3 linked regions of the Notamacropus eugenii genome follow. The protein of the gene in region 1 interacts with the protein of each later gene in a pairwise test. Links are inferred from orthologs where the notes say so. Each region holds a gene or a part of one and is shown on either strand. Other genes may lie near its edges.

What was found.
Region 2: the proteins of RBM10 (region 1) and RBM12B interact in a two-hybrid assay, tested with the Homo sapiens proteins (3 studies listed by BioGRID). The link is inferred for Notamacropus eugenii from reciprocal best matches to the Homo sapiens genes RBM10 and RBM12B.
Region 3: the proteins of RBM10 (region 1) and CPSF7 interact in binary tests that used the Homo sapiens proteins (3 or more experiments, as listed by UniProt). The two-hybrid records come from large-scale screens. The link is inferred for Notamacropus eugenii from reciprocal best matches to the Homo sapiens genes RBM10 and CPSF7.

The regions. Positions count from the first base shown.
Region 1 is NC_092879.1:101,862,871-101,870,836, forward strand, and holds the start of RBM10 (RNA-binding protein 10), read left to right. Parts: upstream 1-4,921; 5' UTR 4,922-5,168; intron 5,169-7,342; 5' UTR 7,343-7,455; coding exon 7,456-7,472; intron 7,473-7,966. Other genes in the region: UBA1 (ubiquitin-like modifier-activating enzyme 1), read right to left, coding at 58-226, 314-372, 474-590, 2,502-2,747. UniProt on the Homo sapiens protein: Binds to ssRNA containing the consensus sequence 5'-AGGUAA-3'. May be involved in post-transcriptional processing, most probably in mRNA splicing. Binds to RNA homopolymers, with a preference for poly(G) and poly(U) and little for poly(A).
Region 2 is NC_092875.1:159,460,446-159,468,019, forward strand, and holds the start of RBM12B (RNA-binding protein 12B), read left to right. Parts: upstream 1-4,547; 5' UTR 4,548-4,718; exon of another isoform or gene 4,719-4,916; intron 4,917-5,125; exon of another isoform or gene 5,126-5,670; intron 5,671-5,937; exon of another isoform or gene 5,938-5,998; intron 5,999-7,574.
Region 3 is NC_092873.1:12,981,543-12,989,376, reverse strand, and holds the start of CPSF7 (cleavage and polyadenylation specificity factor subunit 7), read left to right. Parts: upstream 1-4,831; 5' UTR 4,832-4,929; intron 4,930-5,059; exon of another isoform or gene 5,060-5,100; intron 5,101-5,411; 5' UTR 5,412-5,462; coding exon 5,463-5,516; intron 5,517-7,834. Other genes in the region: SDHAF2 (succinate dehydrogenase assembly factor 2, mitochondrial), read right to left, coding at 1-47, 162-385, 4,591-4,635.

The sequences.
Region 1 (7,966 bases):
GATCCGGGGGGGGAGGGGAAGAGGAGGAAAGAAACCATAGAGATGGATTGAGGTTACCTGGGAGGAGAGATCAGCCCACTGGGCAGCACCCTGATCATGTAGGGTGACAGCTTTGACTCCACCAAGAATGATGTTCTTAGCAATCTCAACTCCCAGGCCCCGGAGCCCAGACACCAGGACACTGGAAGTCTGAAGTCGCTTCATAGCATCGTGGCCCAGTACATACCTGAGAAGGAGATGAGAGCAAGGTCTAGAGCCCAGTCCCTGTCTGACAGCTTCTCCCCTTCCCAGCCCCCAACAGTTCCGGCCTCACAGCTGCCTGGAGTATAGGCCCTCGTCGATGTCTGCCTCGCTCCCGTTCTTAGCCATTCCCTGTGGACAAAGAAAGCGACAAAGAAATGCACAGGGTGAGGAGAGGCTGACCCAAGCCCTGGGATCCACTACACTACTGAAACTCAGTGCTGAACACTCACGTTGGCAGGTGCAGTGGGCACTTCAGAGGGAACGGGGTGGGCAGGAGAGCAGTTAGAACCTGGTTTTGGATCAGGCCCGGACACGCGACGCTTCTTGGACAGCGGCGAGCTGGACATCTAGGAGAGATAGAAAAGAAAGCTGTCAGAACTGGCCCAAAGAGAGGGAGGAGAGATCAGGGTGCGAAGTACAGCAATGAACCTGACATGAGGGAGAGGGGCTGAGAACAGGCCACCTGGGAAGAAGAGAACTATTCCCAGGAATGGGTGAAAGAGGAAGTCTGAGGAAAAGAAACAGTGCCAGAGAGTTCCAGAGCGTTAGGGAAGTCAATGAGCTGGTCCTACTGGGGGTGGAAAGGAGAGAAATATGAGAGCAGAGAGGCGTCCTGGGCAGGCAGGCAGGAGGATCAGGACATCTTCTTTTGGGCAGGGTTAGAGAGACACAGGAACAGATGGGGTCAGTGGGTAAGTCCAGGGGGCCCATCACGTTTGTGGGGAAAGTAAGCCATCTGCCAAGCAGAGCGGTGACACAGAGTAGGAGGGGGGAAAGAGGAAGCACCATTGTCCTGATTGGCCAAGGCTGTTGTCCTTCCTTTAGGGTTCTTCTCCCACTCCCTCGGGTGAATGTGGGGGGCAGAAAGGCCAAAGAGGCTTCCAAACCAACAGAATGCCAAGAAAGATGGAAGGAGGAAAGGGGAATGAAAGGAAGGCGCTGTCCAGGGTGCTCCTTGGTCTTATCTGGAGTGGCTGCCGGTAGGCCCGCCACCCACCCGCCCACCCATCCACCCAAGGCCCCGGCGTGGAGAGAGTGAAGAGGCAGGATTGATGCCCCCTCCCCCCAGCACCTCCGGCGGCCCCACCCCTCCGGCAGAATCCCGGGTGGGGCCCGACGATACAGTGGCCCCGCCCCCGGGGGGGGGGTGGAGAAATCGCAGCGGGAGGGGGGCTGGTGAAGGGAGGCAAATCCCAGCTGGGGGGGAGAGATCCCGGCAGTCTGGGGGGAACGGGAGAAGCGGCAGACAGTGGGGGGGGGGGAGGGGAGGAAGTAGACTGCGGGGATGGGGGTGGGGGGAAGGAGAAGAGATCGCGGTAGAGGGGAGGGAGGCCGGCAGCCGAGAAGGCAGGCCGGTTACCAAGGCCTGTTCCCCGGGGCCCGATCACCGCAGTCGCCGTCGCCGTCCGGTGCTCAGGGAACTCCCCCCGCCGCCACCCAAGGCCAGCCCCGGCGCCTGGAGTCTCAGCCCCTCCACGGGCTGCTTCGGTCCCAGACACAAGATGGCGGCCGCCGCCGCAGAGCCGGAACAAAACCCGCGGGTGGCTCCGCCCCCTGACGCAGGCACCGCCCAGTCCGAGGCCCGCCCCTCCGCCGGCCGGCAAGCCCCGCCCCCGTCCCAATTCCTCGCCCCCGCCGCAGGCTACAAAGCTGGCACATTCACCGAGAGCAGGGTTCCGGCGGCTTGGGGAGGGCACAAGCAAGTCTTTCCCCCGATCTCTTCGCCCCAGCGCCCGAGCCAATAAACGTGCGCCCCCGTCCTCACCCCCAAACTGCTCCCGCCCTCCTATCTCTGAGTGACACTGCCAGGTACCGCGCCAGGCCTCGCTCAAATCCTCTAGCAACGACGCCTCGCGCCTGCGCGCCCCGAAACGGGCCAAAGCCTACCCCTCCCCCCGCGGACCAGGCGCAGGTTCGCGCACGCGCCAGCCTGCGGCCCGTCCGCCCAGCTCGGCGAACGCCGGCATCCCTCCTCCTAGTCAGCTAAAAACGCACGCAATACCCGGTGGGGGGAGGGGGGAAGAGAACAAACGCACCTCCTACATTAAGACCCGGCCCAGATTGCCCCGCCCCTCCAAGAAGTCCAAATGGGGGCAGAGGCCCCGCCCCTAATGAATAATGGTCAAAAAAGACCCCGCCTCCTACGCCCGGGCAGCCACACAAGGACGAAACTCTCATCACTACCCCCCCAACTCGTGCCGTTTCATAAAAGCTCTCCCTGGGTCCCCTCTACGCCAACGCCAAGTCTCTCAACTCACCCCCTCCTCAGGCCCGGAGCCGCCGAGGCCTAGCCTTCCCCTAGAGCTGGAGGCGGTGCTGGAGCGGTAGCCAGAGCTAACTTTGCTGCTGCCGAGGAGCCCCGGCTTGCGTAGCGATGGGCTGAGCGCGGAACTTGGGGTCCCCGGGCCCGGAGCGGAAGGTACTATTTGCGTCAAGGGGGAAGGCTCACCCCAAATGCGACTCTCGCGGCCTATCCCCTGCTCTGACATTCGAGTGCACCCCATTTTCACCTCATGTCCTGTCAGCGTCCTAGTTCACATCAGATTCTGACTCTTTTTCGCCCATTCCAGAAAAAAACCGGCCCCAAAGTTACTGAAAGAATCCCCTGGTGGAGCACACGTGGTACGATCCAGGCTGGTCGCCGTTGCGGAGCCTGCTGGGAATTGTAGTTCAGCCCGCGCTGGCGCTTGACTGGAGCACGTGGTGAACACTATCCTAAACTGGGCCAGGGTGGGGAAGAGGTTTAGACATCTGTGGCGGAGACAACTTCCTACAAGGGCGCGAGCATTAGGGAAGGCTGGGAAATAGGGCGGGACCAATTTTGAAAATCATTCGTGGAGACTGACTGAGTTAAAATTCAGGTTCCAGAGACATTGACAGAAGTGGGGGGAAGGTACCTAGAGTTAAAGCTAAAGTGGGGCAAACCTAGAGTCTAAAACAGAAAATGGATGAACAGACACCGGTACAGAGACTAAAATGAGAGCAAAGATCCAGACACAGGGCAACTAGAGACTGAAAACCTGAAGGGAGGGGGGGAGAGGGGAAGAGACAGATCTAAACCCCAAACTTCTCTGCATTATGCGTTTGAGATATTTCCGGGGTTCTGTACTGAGTACAGATGACAAAGGTAGGGTTTGTCTGAGAGAGCAGGTAGAGTAAGACTTTGGACACCATCCAGTTCGATCCTCTCCATTTTAGAGATGGGAGCTTAAGAGATCTGTGGGTGACACGGTATTGTCTGTCTGAGGTAGAATTTGAACTCAGGTTTTCCTGATTCCAACTCCAGCATTCTACCCACTGTGCCAGCTACCTGCCAGATGAGAAATCATAGATTTAGAAATGGAAGGGAAGTTTAAAGTCATTGTATCAAACTCCACCATTTTAACAGTTGGGGAAAGGCACAGATGCCAAAAAGGTAATTTACTTGACCAAGGTCATTGTGTTCCTTCGTTGCTGAAGAAGACCATGCCACCAGAGAAACGATGACGTGACTTGCCCTTGACTTTGTTTTGAATGAGAGAGGGCTGTGCAGGTCACCAGCCTCACATCTCCTCCAGAACCATTGGAATCCTGGGTCATCTTCAGTCATCCTGAGGAATGTCTGGTCACTGGATTCATTAAAGGGGCCATGCCCTGGCTACTGCTTAAACAGTCCTATTCAATGAATGGGCATTAGTTCACCCTAAGTGAATACCTGCAAAGACCTTGGCCTAAAGGACCCAAGGTCCTGGGTCGTCTCCAAGATCATACCAGCAGTGTTAGAGGCTATGATTTGAACCCATGGTTCTTTGACTCATTCCTACTCCAATTCATCTTCCTCGGACTCCCGCCATGTATGCTCCATAAAAGAATCTCTCCAATGATCGTTTTTCTAAGAGCTTTCCTCAAAAGTTTTCCTTATTAATCATTTGGAGGGTAGAGATACTTCACGGTGTGGGTTCTTGCACCATGGAAGGCCTGGCTTTTCAGTAAGGTGCTCTGAAAAGATCGAGCCAACGGTCTGAGGACCAATATGCTTTACAATCCGGAGGAGCTCATCTCCAGTAAGTGTACTATTAGGCTATGGACTCCTTTTCCCTGTGCCTGGGACACAGTGCCTGTCACATAGTAGGCACTCCATAAGTGGCTGTTGACCTGAACTGAAAACAGTGGAGAGCCAAGAGAGACAAGGCATAGTCTCTACCAAAGTTCCTGAAAAGAACGACTAGGCATAGAGAACGTAGAAGGCAGGGGGTCAAGCCAAGCTAAGGAGTTTAAACGGAAGTGCAGCAGCGCAGCACGACCATTGTCGCTTTCTCCAGTGGCGCCAAAAAGGTCTAGTTGGAGCACGGTTCCTCCCTAATGGGCAAAGGGGCGGAACCCACTCGACAGTCTAGTCCCCCTCTGCCTTCCCCCCACCCCCGCTGGAATCACGTGAGGCGGGACTCCACCTCCTTCCCCCATGGACGTGGTGCAGGTTCGGCCAATCGCCACGCCCTCTGTGGAAGCAAGGGGCGGGACTCGGCGACTCAGCGCGGAGAATGCTCGGGAGGGGGCGCAGCAGCCCAACGGAGCGCGCCGGGGCCCGGGCCGGCCCGGGCCGGCTCGCGCCTGGGCTGCTGGGCCGGGAAAGGGAGGGGCGGGGCGAGGGATGGGCGGAGCTGCCGCCGCCGCCATCTTCGCTTGGTAGTTTGGGGCCAGCCAGGGGGAGGCAGCAGTGGGTTGCCCTGGGGCGGAGAAAGGGGAGAAGGAGAAGGAGAAGGAGGGCGGCGGCGGCGGGGGCGGCGGCAGCTTCGCCGGAGTCGTAGCCGCGCTTTCCTGCGGGCCCGGGCCCGGCCCCACTGACGGCGGGCGCGCGCGCGCGTGCCCGCGAGGGAGGCGGTAGCAGCGGCGGCGGAGGCCGGGTGATGTGCCCGAGCCCTCGCCTCACGGTCCGGACCCGGCAGGTGAGCGGGCCCGGCGGGGCTCGGGCTGGGCCGGGGACGGGGGAGGGGTCGGGGGCCCCGACCCGGCGGCGGCCACGGCGCCGGAGGCCCCCCGGGGGTGGGAGTGGGGGGGTGAAGGGGGGGTGCGGAATAGAGGCCGAGTCGCCGAGCGGGCGCGAACCTGAGCGAGCGTGCGCGCTCCCGGCGGTGGCGCCGCGCTCCTCTCCCCCTCCCCTCCCCCCGCCGTCTTTTCCCTCCTGCTCCCCCCTCCCCTTCCCCCAGCCCCCTCCTCCCTCCCCAGAGGCTGCGGCCGGTCTGGGGAGGATCAGATGGATGAATGACAGGAGCAGGCGGCTGGAGCGGGTCCAGATCGGGGAGGGCAGCTGGCATGGCCGCTCCTCTGGCCCGCTGGCCCTGCCATGTGCCAGACCCTGCCCCCGCGGGGCCCTTTCCCCTAAGCCCGGCTAGGGCAGCGCTGTACCTTGGGGGGCCGGCCAGGGCAGAGGTCAGGCTGATCGGGGGTGCCCCAGAGTGGGCTGCTCTGGCCCTGGGTGCCCGTAGCTGCTTCCTACCCCTTGCCTGGCGGCTTTTGAGAAGCCCCTTTATTAGCCTCACCTGCTGGGCGTAGGAGAAGACGAGGCAGCAAGGCCTTCAGCCCCGTCTCTGGGCCCCTGCAGTCAGGGCAGCTGAGCCTCTGTGTTTTCCGACAAGTGGAGCTGGAAGGAAAGTGCTGTGTAAACTTACCAGCTGAGCTCTGGAGGCCTGAGGGGTGAGGGCCATTCAGGACCTGCCTAGGGGGCGGGAGAGGGGATTGAGGGCAGAAAGGAAGGCACCTCCCAAGGCCAGGTGGCCTTTGCTCGCCCCTTTGGGCCACACCTGGCAGCACGATGGGCCAGGCCTCGGTCTTGTCCTCATAGAGTTCCCAGTCCCATGTGGCCCCAGGTTCTAGGGCAGCCTTCTCAGAATTCTGGCTTTACAGAATAGTAATAACTGAAAATAACAAGGGAGGGTCCCCCCCCACCCCCCAGTCTGGCCATGGAGCCCGGAGTTAAAAACCCCTGTTGTTCCAGAGGGGACAGGTGCCGGAGTTAAATATGTTTTGAAGGACACACAGGGGAGGGGTGCACAGGAACCTTCCTCCCCCACCAGAGGCAGCAGTGATCCTGGCCCTCACTCCAGAGTACAAAGGGGCAAAGCATCCAGATCAAGGAAAAGCAGAAAAGACTTGGGGGCCAAGGCTGAAGCCAGGGAGGCAGCATGGTGGCCTTGACCTTGGACTCTGGCTGTTCTTGGCAGCTGGGGGGCCCTGAAAGTCATATCCAATATTTCTCAGGCCTTTTACAATTCATTCACATGGACCCACACATCCTCCCCAGCAGCCCCCTGAGGTATGGAGTGCAACTAGTTCTAATCATCGTTTTATACAAGAGCAAACCAAGATGCAAAGATGCTTGGATGTTCTCAGCCAAGATACAGTGGCAGCTCTGGCTCTGACTCCTCATATCTCTCTCTCTCTCTCTCACTCTCTCTCTCTCTCTCTCTCTCTCTCTCTCTCTCTCTCTCTCCCTCCCTCCCTCCCTCCCGCCTTCCCTCCCTCCCTCCCTCCCTCCCTCTCTCCCCCTCCCTCCCCCTCTCTTCCTCTCTCTCTCCCCCTCTCTCCCTCCCTCTCTCCCTCCCTCTCTCTCTCCCTCTCTCTCCATTTCCCTCCCTCTCCATTTCCCTCCCTCCCTTTCCCTTCTCTCTCTCTCCTTTCTATCTCCCTCCCTCCTTTCTCTTTCTCTGTCTTTCCCTCTCTGTCTTTCTCCATCTCTTTGTCTCTCCATCTCTCTCTCCCTCCTTTATCTCTCTCCCTCCTTTCTCTTTTCTTTCTGCCTCTCCCTCTCCATCTCTTTGTCTCTTCATTTCTATCACTGCCTCCTCCCTCTCTCTCTCCCTGTCCCTCCCTCTCTCTCTCTCTCTCTCTCTCTCCCTCCCTCTTTCTCTCTCTCTCCCTCTTTCTCTCTCTCTCGCTCGCTCTCTCTCGCTCTCTCCCTCCCCCTCCCCCTCCTCCTTCCCACTTTCCCATTCTGGAGACAATCCAGATTGACTGCTGCTAGTTCTCGTTTTCTTCCCCTGTACCAAGGGTTAGGTAGCCCGCCCTGCCTGGATGGGCTCAGGCTGCCCCTGACCTCTCCTTTTTCTTTTCTGTCCCTCAGATCCCTCACGGGAGTTCTTGTGCAGGCTGGCGGAGCATGGTGGCAACAGCAGGGCTGGTGGCAGCTGGGAAGTGAGGCGGAGCCATCGGCCCAGGAGCAGGCCACCCCCAGACATGGAGTATGAAAGACGGTGAGACTGGGGAGAGGGCTGTCCCAAAGTGAGAATCCTTTGGGCCCTGGCAAAAACAAGGGGCATCTTTTCCCCTTGATTTTTCCCAAGGTTGACTTTGGGTTTTGGCTGGAGAGGGGTAGGGTTCCAAAACTGAATGATCTGGGATCATAATATTTTTCTTGGAAAGAGATTCAGAGACCATGTGAGATAGTAAGGTCTGATCCTGGCTACCCCCCATTCCTGAGACTTCTTGGCACTGGGCAGTAGCTATCTTTTCTAGAAAGCTCTTTGTACCCAGACAAGCCACCTTGGGCCAGTGCCATCATTCCCCCAGGATGCTCCAACACAGATGACAGGGCTCCGAGGAGCTTGACTGGGCCTTGAGAGAGAGAGGGCAGAGCAGGAGGCAGCAGTGCTGTGTGTCAGCTCCTCTGCCTGTCCCCAGCTGCCTTTGGCTACATGGGCATGTGATGGCTCTCTTTAGTAAAGTAACAACAGGAGCAGAGAGGTTT
Region 2 (7,574 bases), on another chromosome or scaffold:
TCACAAATTTGACTTAGTTCTCTATATTTGAGAAATGAGTCCTTAATCAGAGATACTTGCTGTGAAATTTCCCTGAGCTTTCTGCTTTCCTTCTAACTTTGGTTGCATCAATTTTGTTTGTGCAAAACCTTTTTAATTTAATATAATTAAAATTGTCCACTTGACATTTTTTAATTCTATCTCTTGTTTGGTCCTAAATTCTTCCCTTGTTCATAAATCTGACAAGTAAACTATTCCATGGTTTCCTAATTTGCTTATGGTCTCATCTTCTATGTCTAAATCCTGCACCCATTTTGACCTTATCTTGGTATGTGGTATGAGATGCTGGTTTATACTAGTTTTTGCCATACTGTTTTCCAGTTTTTCCAGCAGTTTTTGTCAAATAGTGAGTTCTTGTCCTGAAAACATAGACCGTTGGATTTATCAAACACTAGATTTCTAAGGACATTTACTATTGTGTACTTAACCTATTGTATTGACCCACCACTCTATTTCTTAGCCAGTCCCAATTTGTTTTGATGACTTCTTGTTCAGTTGTTTCAGTCATGTCTGACTCCATTTTGGGGTTTTCTTGGCAAACATATGGGCATGGTTTGTCATTTCCTTCTCCAGCTCCTTTTACAAATGAGAAATTGAGGCCAGAATGGTTAAGTGACTTGCCCAGGGCCACTCAGCTAATGTGTCTGAGGTCAGATTTGGACTCATGAAGATGAGTCTTCCTTATTCCAAGCCCAGCATTCTATCTACTATGCCACGCAGCTACACCTGTTTTGATGATTACTACTTTATAATACAGTTTGAGATCTCCTAAGACTAGACCACCTTCCTTCACACTTAAAATTCCCTTGATTTTAAACCTATCTTTTTTTAAAGCACCAATATTTTTCTAAGTGATTCTATATGGCTGAGGAATTATGGAATTCTAATCTCCAGAGAATCAAAATTTCAGGTGACCTAAAAGCAAGAGAAGGTGCAAATAGGTTTTATTATTCATTGAATGAATGAATGGATGAAAAAGAAACATCTAAGTACTTAACATACTTAAGTGCCAAGCATTCTATTAAGCACTTAGAAATCTAAAAATTATAGTGTGACTTCCCTACCCTTAAGGAATTTATATTCTAGTAAAGGAAGACAATGGCATATAAAATAAATCAATCAATATTCACTGAGTACCTATTATGTGCCTGCAACTGTGCTAAGAGCTGGAGATATAAAGGAAGGCAATGAGTTTATAATCTAATGGGAGAGACAATATATAAACAAATATACACAAAACAAGTTGTTGTTCAGTTGTTTCAGTAGTGTCTGACTCTTTGTGGCCTCATTTTTGGTTTTCTTGGCAAAGATATTGGAGAGTTTGCCATTTTTTTCTCCAGCTAATTATTGAAAGTGGAATGGAGGCAAACAGGGTCACCCTGGTAAATGTCCGAGGTCAGATTTGAACTGAGGAAGATGAATCTTTCTGGCTCCAGGCCCAGCAGTCTGTCCACTGGGTTACTCAGATAAATGCAAAACAAGCTATATACAGGATTTATAATTAAGGAAGAGAAGTTACTTGAATTATTAGGGTTTGAGGAAGGCTTTTTGTAAATAGTAGGATTTTAGTTGGGCCTTAAAGGAAGCCAGGGAAATCAGTAAGTGAAATTGAGGAGAGACAGAATTCCAGGTCAGGAGGACAGCCAGAAAAATGCCTGAAGTGGAGAGAGATGGAGTATTTTATTTTATGGAATAGCAAAGAAGTCAATATCACAGGATTGGAGTACATTGTAGATATATGTAATAGAGTACATTACATAGAGTAATATGTAAGAAGAAAGTTATGAAGGGCTTTGAATGCCAAATAGAGCATTTTTTGTATCATCCTGGAGGCCACTGGAAGTCACTGCAATTGTTGTGTAGGGGGATAAGATGGTCAGACCTGAGCTTTTGAAGTAATCTAGGCATTTGATGATAAGAGTCTGTACCACATTGGTGGCAGGGTTAGAGGAGAGAAGAGAGAGGATTTGAGAAATGTTGCAAAGGTGAAATTGATAGGTCTTGGCAACAGATTGGATATGGGGGCATGTGACATAGTGAGGTTCTGAGCCTGAGGGACAGAAGTGGGGAAGGTAGGACAGGGGGGAGGATTTAGGAGGAAAGATTGTTATTATTCCTCATTTTCTTGGGCGAATTGGATTTAAGTGAGGCTGAACTGCACAAAGTTGCCAGCCTCACTATCTCTTCCCAACTCCTCTAAGTCCAGTGGTAGGACAAAAGTCAAGATGACTGACAATGGCCAGGATGAAGTGAATGACCTTGGCATCTTTGATGTCTAACCAAGCTCTAAGTGCTCCACATCCTGATGGGTGGTACAAATTGTTGTCACCTGATCATTCTGACAGGGAATGTTTTCACATACTTAGGACAGATATCCCCCTAACCTACTGATGGGTTTGAGGCCTGTTGGTTACCCTCAACCTGGTTTAGCCCTTCTGCTGAGAGGGTTTTAACCAGAGTATGACTGCTGCTCTTGCTATAGATTCTTGGAGCCACAGGCAAGAGTTAGGTGAATCGGGCAGATATCAAAAGTGCATGAGCAGTCCCGAAAAGCAAGTCCTCACACCAGAGGTGCTAGCCCTCCTTTAACATCCCATACAACTCAGAGGGAAAGATAATGTTGAGTTTAAGATATCTACTGGACATACAGTTTGAGCTGTCTGAAAGGCAGTTACAAGGACATACAAGATTGGAGGTCATCAGAGAGGCTGGGGCAGGATAGGTAGATTTGAGAATTAATTTGCATAGAGATGCTAATTAAATTCAAGGGCGTTAATGAGATCACCAAGTGACTTAATATAGAAGGTGGAGTGGTTAGAGGATGAGGTCTGGATTAGGAGCCAGGAAAGGATCCTTATTAAGACTGGGTGGCTAAGGAACAGGAGTGTTCGGGGAATTCACAAGGATAACAAAACTTTCCAGGAATAATGGTGTTGTAGAAGTACTAATTGGATCAAGGTTCCCAAAGCAAAAATGCCATACAAGATCTCAGAAAAGGGGAACTTGGCATGTACATAGTGAAGAGAGATAAGGAATGTCTAAAGGCAGATTTTAGTTCCTAGAGGGTCTCTCTCTCACTGGTCCCTTTTAGAGGATTTAAGGGAAGTCGGAGATTAGATACACATTGGATACAACTCTGTTCACTGGTTTGATTTGTAGCACTTGAAGGAGTAACCAGAAACATAACAGCCCAAATGCATTTAAGGAGGTCTGGCAGCATGTCTCACCTTTGCTTATTCACTTTTGTATCCCTGAATGTAATATATAATACATACAGTTGTAATGTAGAGAGTTGTATTTTAATAAATATTTGTTGAATGAGTGAATTAATGCAATGTTTTTTTTTTTTACTGGGTGCACATTGAAGAGCTCCTCCCAGATCCTTTTTCAAAGGGGGGGGGGGGGGGCGGGACTCAGGAAGATACCTTATCATTTTCTCTGGGGCTGAAAGTCAGTAAACATTAAGTGCCTACTATGAGTCAGGCATTGTGTTAAACTCTGGGGATACAAAGAAAGACCTGAAGGAGCTCACATTATAGTGGAGGAAGACAACACATAAAAGAAAAGCTGAAAAGGGGAGTCGCAGTAGGTAGGATGAGTACCTAGCTCTTAGGTATGGGCATGATGAAGTTTTGTAGTTGGAAGTGGGAAGTGATCTAAGGAGGTGTGTTACAAAGTTGAATTTATCTTTGCAGAATGGTCAGTTTCTGTTGATATCCTGGAGATCCGTAAGGGATGAGGTGGATTCCCTGGGTGCTCTCTGTAAAAAGTGTGTGATCTAGAAGGATGTTCATCGTCTAACCTCCACACTCAGCAATCGGAGGGAGGGAGAACCTCGGGGGCAGGGATACGAGCGAGGAGGTGTGAGTTAGAGTTACAGAGTTGAATTCCTCTTGCAAAATGATCAGTTTCTGGAGACAATGAGAAAGTGCAGCAGCAGCCAGGTGAAAAATGAAGGGTCTGCTAGACTCCCCCAACCCCCTTAAACAGAGGATCTTGGGAGAGCCCTTTAATGTCTGACCTTGACTCCTTCCAACCAAAGGGCCGGAGGGCTAAGGGGCAGTGGTGCGGAGGAGGTGTGTATTACCGGGGTGAATAGTCTGGCAGAATTACGTGGCCGGAGACAATGAAGCCGGCCGGTGGAGCCCCCAGTGGGAAAGGGAGGAAGGCGTAAGTGGCCGAGGGTGCCGGGGAGGTGTGAGTTGCCATGCTGATGCTGTCCTGGTCTTCACTATTCCTCTCCTCTGACTCCTTCCCTCTCTTGCCTCCGCCCCCATCCCACCTACTAGGTGGTTTTCATGTGCTGCCTTTCCCCGTTAGATTGTAAGTACATGGAAGGCACTGCCTTTTGCCTTTCTTTGTGTCCCCAGCGCTTAGGACAGAGCCTAGCACGTGGTAGGCGCTTTATAGGTGTTTACGGATTAACTGACTTCTACGCTTTCGCTCCTTCTGCTCACATTAAATTTCTGGGAGAACAAAATGCAGAGGCACAGACAGGGCGCATGCGCAGGAGTCCTAAAGTAGAGGAAGGGGCAGATTTCCTCGAGGAAAAAAGACTTTATCGAGTCGGGCGACCGAATGCGCACGCGCTCCAGATTGCCTGGCGGAGAGGGGCGGGAGGAAGGGGAGAGCGCGAGCTCCGAGAGTGGAAGGCGCATGAGCGGGCCAACTGCAATTCGGTTTGTCTAGAGACCCCGGGGGGAGGGGGTAGGAGTGGCAGCCATTTTGTTGTAGGCTTGCTCTGAGTTGGAGGTTTTTTTTTGACCCCCCCTCCCCCCTTTTTAATTTTTTTTTTTTTTTTTTTACCTCGGGAAGCGGTTGTGGTGCCGAAGGAGACCTCCCAGGCTCGGCTGGGGCCTTGAGACTCGGGAGCCGCGGTGTGTGTTTATAACCGGGTTGTGAAAGAACTACGCTGCAGGCTCCAGGAATGGTGGGAGGGGTCCGGGCCAGTGGTGGGGTAGGGGGATGGGGGGGAGGAAGCGGGCCGAGGCCGAGGCCGAGGCCGAGGCGGGGCCCGCCCGCGCCGGAGGAGGAAGCGGCGGAAACGGCAGCGGCCGCGCAGAGAAGTAACCGCCGCCACTGCTGCGGGCCGCGCCCCCGACCTGAGCGCTGTGCCGCGGCTGCCGCGGCTCCCGCGGCGCGGTCCTCCCGATCGCGGGCAGCCGCTGCCCGTGGCCCTCTCTCTCCATTTTTCCCCTTCCCCGCACCCTCTCCGTGTTAACACGCTGCTCTGCTTTCGGGGGCCGTGGCTCCGGCCCGCCGGCGTAGTGACGGTCGGGGAGGCCCAGGCCCGCCTCGATTTCGGGGAGGGAGGAGGCGGCGGCCGCGCGCCTCCCCTCGGCTCCCCGGAGTTAGGTAGGATGGAGGTAGCAGGGCGACCTTGGCCGAGCCGCGGGGTAGGGGTGCTAGCCTCCCCGGGGGGAGTGAGTGACTGAGTGCCCTCGGGCCGGCCGGGGAGACGGACGGAGGCGCCTGCGAGGTCAGGCTTGATTGGCCCCGGGGGCTAGTCCTGGGCCTGGGGGACGGCGTCGGATCCCATCTGGCGACCTTGGCCTGGCGGGAACGAAGGAGCCGCTTGACTCTCTTGGGAATGTGGACGGACTCTAACGGCATTTGGCTCTAGAACTCGTGGTAATGGAGGCCCCTGGAGGACCCCCCCTTTGAGGAGGATGGAGGATGTTGAGGGGAACCCCGTGCACCCCGAGGAATCCATCGTCTCCATTACTTTCTTGTGTCTATCGGAGACTAAGGCTCTGGGCAGTCAGTGGCTTTGGCGCTCAATTGGGGGAATCGTTCCCCAAGACACCCAGATAGGCAGTCCACCGATCCTAGAAACTAATTGAGAATGGCGAAGGAAGAGAGCCCCGTAGAGTTGTGGGATCAATCACGTTTGATCCGAGAGCCCGGGAGGAAAATCACGGTGTAGTCGTCAAGTCTGGAAGCCAACTTGGTGTTCTCGGTAGGAATGTAGAGTCGCACTGATGCCAGAATTGAAGGCTGGTTGTTTTTGCCTGTGTGGTTTTGGGCTCAAATTGGAGGAAGGCTTTAATTTGTTAATTTTGTATGAGGGACTGGTGAATGCATTTTTTGCGTTTAGTGGTTGTGTAATAAACTCGGATGTCTTTGTTGCGGTTCAGTTCATTTTTTAAATGAACTTTTTTGTAACCTGCCTCCCCACTTCAAGATTTCATTAGCTCTGAAGGTTTTGTCGTAGTGGACCAATCTGTGTGTAACTCTAAAGAAGTAGGCAAACTTAAATTTCTCTGCTTGGTTTTCAGAGTACAATTGAATATGTCTTGTGTGACTGTCATTTTGTCTAACCTTTTTTTTTTTTGTATGAGGGTAGACATAAACATGGAAACAAAGATGCAACTTGGTTTTGAAACTTTTCAAAGTTTGTCTTTGGATGTGCTTGGCTAGTCTGCCAAACAGGTTTTACTGTAGTGTTAAAAACTTGCCCTATCCCCAGTATCTTAAGACCAGAATGTTTTCATGAAACACACTGGAATGTTTGGTGTAGCTGTGGTGCTTCGTTAGAATACCACCTTGCTATCATGTTTCAAAAAAAATCTGATATAATTCTGAAGTGGAATCATTAAGTGTTTATTGAACTACTTTGTTAAAATGACAGTGTTTTTAATAACAGTGTCATTAGATACTGTTTTAAACCTGACACTTTTGCCCCTAGTACCATATCCCTTTAGCCTTTAATTTTCTTTAATATCTTCAGGGAGTATAAATTTATGCTCAAGAAATTAATTGATTTTACTATATAACAGGCACATTTTAATCTCACTAGACCATGTGTTCTATAGTTAATGCTGTTTTTCATCTGTTTTAATTACATAAAAAAAGTTTTTTGGAAATTGTGCACACTAGAGAATTCTGTAGTTATGCATAGACTCAATGCCAGAGATGCTTGTGTAGAAGGTTTATAACTACTTCAGAGTGCTCTAGATATTGCTTTATAAAAAGAAAAGATTAGGAATATTCCTGGCAGTTTTTTTCTTGGTGGCTAGTATAGTTACAGTAAACTTCATTAATTTGAAATTCATCCTAATTCAAGACAAAGACTAAGTTAAATATTTCTGTCATGAAAATATTAAAGGGTGAGGGTGTGAGTCAAACAGTTTTCAAGTTTCAGTTTTTTAAAATATGAAGTTAATTACAGAAGACATTTAATTGGACATACTTTTAGTTTTGCTTGGCTTGCAAAGTAGTAAAACCACTTTTCTAAAAACATTCCATAATTTGAACTTTTGACTAATTTATACTGCCCTTCCTTTAAACCCCCTTCATTGACAGTAAGTTTGGTGTAGTATAAAGGGTACTGGCCTTGGAATAGAAGGCTTGATTTCAGTTCTGACCCTGGCACTTATTTGTGTGACCATGGGAAAGTCACTTCAACCTGCTTGAGTTTTTCTGTAAACTGCATCTCTCTTTGTGATGGAGATAAAACTGCTTGTACAACCTATCTTACAAAATTATTGTGAGGAATATTCCCTGTAAAGTTGAAGTGATATGCAAATGTAAAA
Region 3 (7,834 bases), on another chromosome or scaffold:
TCAGCTGCCTCTCCGTCATTTGCTGTAGATTCTCCTTGGCAAAGAGACTAAACGAGAAGAAAGAAAGGCGTTCAGGAGGCTGCATGAGGCTACAGGGCTGAGCAGTCATAGCCATGGAGGGCAGGTCCTTCCGCCACAGCCCCAGGCACCCCCTTCCCTACCTGAGCAGGATGCAGTTCTCCAGCATGCCTCTTTTTCTGCTCTCATAAAGCAGGCGAGCCCTCTTGGTTTCAATGGGTTCATCTGTTCGCTCTTCCCATGGGGGTAAGGGGATTTCAAGCATATCCTTTTGAGAGTCTGATGGGCTGTCCCCTCGGTAGAATCGTCTCAACAGTGAACTAGCCACAAAGGGAGACACAAGAGTGTGCCTGGACAAGGCAAGAAGCTGAAAAAAGAACCACAAACAACCCAGACTGAATCAAGCTGCATGAAATTCAATTCAATAAATATTTATTAAATGCCTGTTTGCCAGAGACTGTACACTAAAAAGAATGTGCAGATTCATAAAATGCTGAACTTAAATGGGACTCAGCTGACCATGGGTAGGATGGACTGAAAGGGGAGTAATTGGAGGCCGACAGACTAACTAGCCACTACTCTAGGTAGTGTTTAGATGCTCTAATTTAACTCAACAAACATACAGCTGCCAGAGTCAAGGCACAGAGCTAAGGGCTGAGGATACAAAGGCAAACAAAGGCAGACTGGTCCCTGACCAGGACTGACTGGTAATCAATGCGACAAGTAAACAGAAAAACCTAACAAAAGGGATCTCCAGAAAGAGAACAGTAACAGGCGGGGGGAGGGAGGTAGAAGGGCCATCTGAGTGGAACACTACAGGAAGAAGAAGGCTCTTGGAAAGGTAAGGATGAAGAGGGAAAGCCCTCCAGGGATGGGGATGTGTGGATGAGAATGAATGCAATGCAGTGGGAGCCACTGGCGGAACAGCTGGCAGTCCAGTTTGACTGGAATAGAGTGTGTCAAGCAACAATGTGAAAGCTAGGAAGGTCCTTTTTTGGTTCTTTGTACATGGAAGTATTACTGTTTGTCAAGTCCATAATGAAGAGAATTTACAGGATTAAAAAAAATAAATCTGGAAAGAACGGTTAGGGCTGTTTTCACTGCCAGGGAGAATTTGTATTTTCTCCTAGAGGTAAGAGGGGATCAGCTGCTAAGGTTTTAGAGCTGGGGAGCAACAAGGTGACGACTCATGGAGGATGGAGCAAGACTGAGAATGAATGGAGGAGAGACTGGAGACAGAAAAAGCGCCTGGGAGGGGATAAAAATTGTCCAGGGTAGCAGCCACAAGGGCCTGAAAGAAAAATATGCATGGGAAGGGAGGAGAGGGAAAAGATGTGAAATCCTGTGTAGACAGGACTGGGGAAATAATCCAATAAAGAGGCTGAAAAAAGTCAAGCCCCCAAGGTTATGAACCTAAGGAAACTTAATGTGGAAAGCTTTGGTGTTCTCAGCAGAAACTGAGTCTGGAGAAGGGCTTGGTTTGCAGGCAGATGAGAAGTAGGGCGGTTTCATGGAAGAGAATTTGATTTACAGTCAGAGGACCTGGATTTGACATTTGGAATAGAAATTTCCACAGGCATGAAAGGACACTGGACTAGTAGAGAGTCTTTCAGAATTCGTTCTTGCTCTAGATTCTGATCTCCCACCATTCCTATTATCGTCCACTCTTTTTATCTCTCTCCTTGGAAGAATTTGGAGTTGGAGGAGCAGGCTTATTTTTCTTGGGCAAGTTATTTAACTTCACAGCTGATCGATGGTCCAAGAATAGGAACAAGAAAATCCAAGCTATCTGTAGCTATATGGAAAACTGCTCTAAAATTACTAATTAGACATGCAAATTAAAGCAACTGAGGTTCTACCTCAGACTCATCAAATTGACAAAGTTGACAAAGAAGGGGAATGACAAATGCTGGAGGGGCTGTAAGAAAATAGGCATGAAAGTGCATAGTTGGGGAGGCTGGAATTACAGCCTTTGACTCAATAATACCAGTCCTGGGACAGTGCTCCAAAGATCAGAGAGAAAAAACGTCCTATGCCCACAGAAATGTATGACAGCACTTTCTGTAGCTGCAAAGAGCTAGGGGGTAGCCATCAGCTGGGGAATAGTGTATGAATGGAATGGAGTACTATCGTGCTACATTTGTATACCTACTATGAGCTAGGCTATTGTTGCTGGACACAGCTGAACAACTAAACAATAAGCCAGGCCTTGTGCTAAGGGCTTTACAGACACTGTCTGATTGGATCTTCATGACAACCTGGGAGACATAAGCTGGGAGGTAGGTGCTATTACTATCCCCATTTTATGGATGAGAAAACTGAGGCAAACAGTGACTTGTCCAGGGTCACACAGCTAAGTTATATGAGGCTGCATTTGAACTCAGGTCTTCCTGACTCCAGGCCTAGTCTTATATCCACCCACCAGAATTTATACAATAAACGCCAACAGCCTGAGAGGACTGCGGGACTAAATCTGCAGAAAGAGACATTTCTGGACTTGGCTGACATGGGAATTTGACTATGCTTAGAAGGTGAAATAATAAAGGCTCAAATAAAAAATAAAAAACAAACCTAAAAACCTCCTCGAGACCTCAGCTCTTCACCTGTGTAATGAGGAGATTGGGTTAAAATGGTTTCTAAATTCCCTTCCAGCTAAATCTCCTATGAGCTACCAAGACGCACAAACGGAGTACCAAAGGTGAAGTGATGTGCCAGAGAGGAAAGTAGAAATGTAGCTTCCAGATAGATGAGGTCCCATGTGAAAGAGGTCCTGGCCCCACATGTGTGAGCACATGACAGAAAGGGACCTAGCTCCCCATCTGGTATGGGACTGTACAACTGGCGTCCACCTTGCCATCACAATCCAAATGCTCGAAGCCTTGGGAGGGCATTTCTTCTTTCAGCCTTTGGGTCCCCTTTCTCTTGGTGCATTCTAGTCCAGTGTCCAAATGGACAACCACAACATGAAAGAATCTGGAGAGCGAGGCATGGTATCTTAGGGAGGGCTCTCACAAGCAGCCTCACGTCATTTCATGGTCTTGGTTGAAGAATGAAGCAAGAAGTAGCTATCCAAGGGCTTCCCTTTTAGCCTTTCTCTAGGTTCTGATCTCTAGGGTACATCCTTCCAAAGAATATTCCCTCTAATTGTAGATTCAACTTCTTTTAGAAAGAACACGAGGAACCAAACACGGTGGTGTCTGAGCTTTGGGCAGCTCCTTCGGTTTCTGGTTGAAAGCCACCAGGTACTTAGTACCTTCCTTACCAAATCACTGTTTATGGTGCAGCCCCTGGACAGCTCTTGTAGCTGTTGGTGAAAACCCAACCACCGGGGAGGGCATCCCCTTCCAGCGTCCCTTTTCTACTCAGACTCCGTAGAATCAAAGAATTCTGCGTTGAAGTCCCCAGTTCTACCGTGGAAGGAAGCTGGCCACCCAGAAATTCCATTCTGCTGGGCTCCACAATTTGCATGTTAAAGGCAAACTACCGGGCTGTCTTTCAATCCAACGGTCATCTGCATCTTAAAAGAGCCTTTCAGACTGACCACCATTTTGTGGGGCAGGGAGAGTTTAAGGGAAACTGCTAGAGATTGGTTAAAACAAAAAGTAGGAGGTGGTGAGGAAGTTACCAGAGGATGGAGCCGCTGGCACACACAGTGGGGCTGGAGCTTGAAGGAATTTGGTTACAATGTATATACTATGTTGCGCTGTCACCTGACTCTCACGGCCCCTTCTGGGGTTTTCTGGCAAGGGGATGGAGGGGTCTGCCATAGATGAGGAACCTGAGGCAGGCGGGGGGAGGCGGGGGCCCGGGGTCCCCCCGGCTAGGAGGTGTCTGAGGCACTCGCCCCCCTAGCCGGAGCTCGTTCCGTCCCTGGAAGGCCCGCCGCACCCAGCTCGGTGCTCACACCCCGCTCCCACCCGGGCCTGGCGCCGCCGCACTCGGCCCTGCCTCCTCCCCACCAGGGCTCCTCCGCAAGCACTTATGTGGCGCCAGCTGCATGCTGGGCACAGTCCCCGCCCTCCAGGGGCTCACACCCGTCAGGACAGACGGAAGGTGGCGTGGGTGACCCTGGGGACGGCCCGGGGTCCGACCTAGGGGTGGAAAGGGGGGTGTCCTCGGCTTCCAGGCCCAATCCGGCCCCTCCCTCCTTTCCCAGACCCCGGCTTCGTGGGATGGGGGAGGGGCGGTCGAGTCTTTCTCTGTCGCTGGGGGGTCCGAGGCCACGGGAAGGGGGAGGGGCCCCTCGGGGCCGCCTAACCCAAGTGACAGACCGGTAAACTGAGGCCAAGGGGGCGGCAAAGCGCTTCACAAAGCTCCCTCGATCCTGGCAGCCACCCTGGGAGGGAGGGGCCGGCGGGATCCCCACAGGGCCGACGAGGCGACGGGGCTGGACTGGACCCTGCGGAGCCGACACCGAACCCGGGGCGGGCGGGTCTCCGTTTTACACAGGGGGAAGCCGAGGCCCGGCCCGGTGGCCTGCGGCTCCCCGGGTCCTCCTTCCAGGCAGGGCCGCTCGGCCCTTCTCTCCGGGACTCCGCGGCCTCCCCCCGCCCGGCCTCTGCCCGCTCTCACCCGAACTGCGGGAGCAGCTGCAGCCGCCGCCGCCGCCGCCGCCATTTCCGCTCAGGCCCGGCCGGAAGCCCGTCTGCTCACCACATCCGGGGACCTCCCGCAGGCCCCGACGAGCCCGAGAGGCCTCGGAGGGGAGGTGGGAGAGGCGGCTCTGGGCGCGCGTGCGTGCTGCGTGTGTGCGTGTGGCGGCGGCGCGCGTGACGCCAGCGCGTGGCGCGGGGAGGGAGGGGGACGGCGGCGGCGGCGGCGGCGGCGGCGGGAGCAGGGGGCGGGGCCTGCGGCCGGGCAGAGGTTCGCGCGCTTCGGGCCTAGTCCGGACTCGCCGCCGCCATATTCCCGGTAACGGGGGCGCGCGGCCGGGGGCGGCGGGGCCGGGGCGCGGAGGCGGGGGCGCGGCGGCGACGGCGGCGCGAGGGGTAGCGGGGCGGGCGGGGCTGGGAGGGCGGGCGGCGGGGCCGGGCCTAGGCCCAGGCTGGGACGGAGCCCGCGCTGAGGCGGCGCTGGGGCCCGGTCAGTCCGGGGCGGCGCGCGGGGCGGGGGCGGGGGCGGGGGGAGGCCCGCGAGCGCCAGGGGAGCAGGCGGGGAGGCCGCCTGAGGGCCTGGGCGCCGGGCGGGCCTAGACCCCGAGGGATGGGGGAAGGGCGCGCAGAAATCGGGCTGCGTGGAGGAGAGGCCCCCCCTCGGAGAAAGCGGGCGGCGGGCGGGCCTAGGCCGGGAGGGAGGCCGGGCTGCGTGGAGAGGAGCGGGGCGGGGAGAGGCCAGGCCGGCCCCCCCTCCGCCGCTGCCCCGGCCTGACTCGTGTCCCTCTCCCCGGAGCGCAGCGGCACCACCGCCACCCTTGTTCCTCGCGGCGCCGCCGGGGTCCCAGAGCCATGTCGGAGGGAGTGGACCTGATCGATATATACGCGGACGAGGAGTTCAACCAGGTGACCCCCGACCCAGGGTGGGAGCTCGCCGGGGCTGGGGGAGGAGGGGGCGGAACCGAGACCGCCCGCGTTGGGAGGCTGCTTTATCCCGGAAAGAATCTTCGGGATGGAGCCCGCGATCCCCCCGCGTTGTCCGGCCGGAGCGCTGCGGAGAGCCTGTCACCTGGGCAGGTGGGGAAGGGGCAGGGAGGGATTTCTAGAAGGTGCGGTCTAGCCCTTGCTTTACAGAGGAGGAAGCTGTAAGGGGGATGCCGCCAGGGGTCACCGCGGTCCGGGCTGTTAACTTAGTACGGCCTTTAGTCCAAAGCTCGGAGCCTGGCCAGCCCCTGCGTTACCCAGGGGTAAACTGAGGCCCAGAAGGCTGCGCTGGCGTCCTGCGAGACATCGGTGGCCGGGCTGAGGTCCTAGTGGCCCGCGGGATGGGCCATTTTCCGACGCTGCTACTTTGCTTACCTTTTAAAAGCCTTCAGAGTCAGACTGTCTGAAGAAGGGCATCAGTCACACCGGAAACATTCTTCCACTTCTCCTGTCAAGTGGGTGCCGTGTGCCTTCTCACTCACAGAGCTGTAGATTTGGAGCTGGAATGGGTCTTGGGACCTGCCTCTTCCAACTCCCTCATTTTACAGGTGAAGAAGTAAAGGTTTTAGCTTGCTCAGTCCCAGCCAAGTATAAAACAGTTGAGTGGGTCTTTGAACCCAGGTCTTAAGACTCCAAATCGGGCACTTTCCGCTGTGCCCACAGAGCAGCCCATCTGTCTTGTCCCTCCTCTGTCAGGTGTTGGCACGTTTTTCTGAGCTGTGTAATGAAGAGCACAGAAGAGAAGTGGTCTTGTGCTGGACTAGTTTTCTCACCTCTCTCTGTTGGATTCTGCACTAAGTTGCATGTAACTTAGAAAGGCTCTTTTCTAGCTCTCCCAGAGACCAAGGGTGGCTGTGGGGCAGCCCGGCTGCCTGCCATGTGGTGCCAGAGGCACTGAGCACGAGCTGATGGAGAGCCAGAAGGGGTTGAAGAGGTTGTCCAGTGGAAAGAGGGTTGATCGTATTTGTTTGACTGCTGTCTATTTTGGAGGAGGATGGGCATTTTTAAGGCTGATTTTCTTGTAATCTGGACTTGCTGAAGAAGAAGTATAAAGTATTTGCCTCATTAGATACAGGGTTGGATTGAAAGCAACCAGAGTAGATTGAGTGTAGGCCCATGTTAGGTGTGGTGTTCGTGAGGTAGCATAAGAAGCCCATCGATGTCTAAATAGAAACTCCTTCCCATATGCCCTCTGGTTCTTGGCATAAAGCTTGACATTCTGTGACTGTCTCATGCAAAGCAGGCAGCATCTGCCTTACCACAGGTGGACTTTGGAATCCTAGCTTTTCCAAGATTTTTTTGTTTTTTGTTTGGAAATCTGGGGTCCATGTCAACTCCAATGCTCCATGTATAGGTGCTGAAAGAGCTCTGATTGCTTGTGTTTTGGGGGTGAGTCACCAGTGCAGTGGCCTCGATTGGCTGCTTTGTTGAGCCATATGTTCCTGTGATTCTTCTCCTGCTAAGACAGTTTGGTTGTAGATGCTATGCTCTTTGACAACAAGAAACCATCGTAAGCTTGGCCCCAACAGGGAGGCAGCACCGGTGGCTCCATCACGCACATGTATTGCACTCTGGTGTTCTATAGAAATCTCTTAAGTAAATCAGGAATGAAACCATCTTGTCAGATCTGCTTTCCTTGGCTGCTGGGCCACAGCCTCAGGGGTGGCCTTGGGCCTCGTTTCTATATGGTTGCCTGTGGTAGCCGCAGCTGTGCCGCATTCACTGGATCATAGAGGTTGCTGCTCAGTCCTGGGATGTGGAAGGACCTTCATGCTCTGACTTCAGAGATGCCAGTAACTCTGAGTTCATTTTACTTTCCATTTGGGGGGGGGGAGGTGACACAAGCATTTATTAAGTGCTGGGCACTGCTTGATTTTAGCAGACTAAGGGTTAATCCAGTGAGAGCTTTGGGTGAAATAATGTAAGCCCCAAGGGAGCAGATTGTGGTGGAGTTTTTTTTATTGGTATTTCCCTGCCCCTCAACCATTGCGTCTGGTACGTAGTAGGTACTTCATAAAGGTTTTGTCAGTTGATTAATGTTAAAATATTCCTACCTACAAGCATGTGGGAGGTCACCTTTTTATTGTGTTAGACAGAGCATTAAGTAATTCTTGTTTTAAGTTTTTACAACTAGGAGTGCTCTGAAGGTTTGTGACGTCTGACCTATATGATACTTAATGTAGCACTAAATAACAAAGGTATTAGCTAATTTGGCCCCAGCCAACCATGACACATTTCCA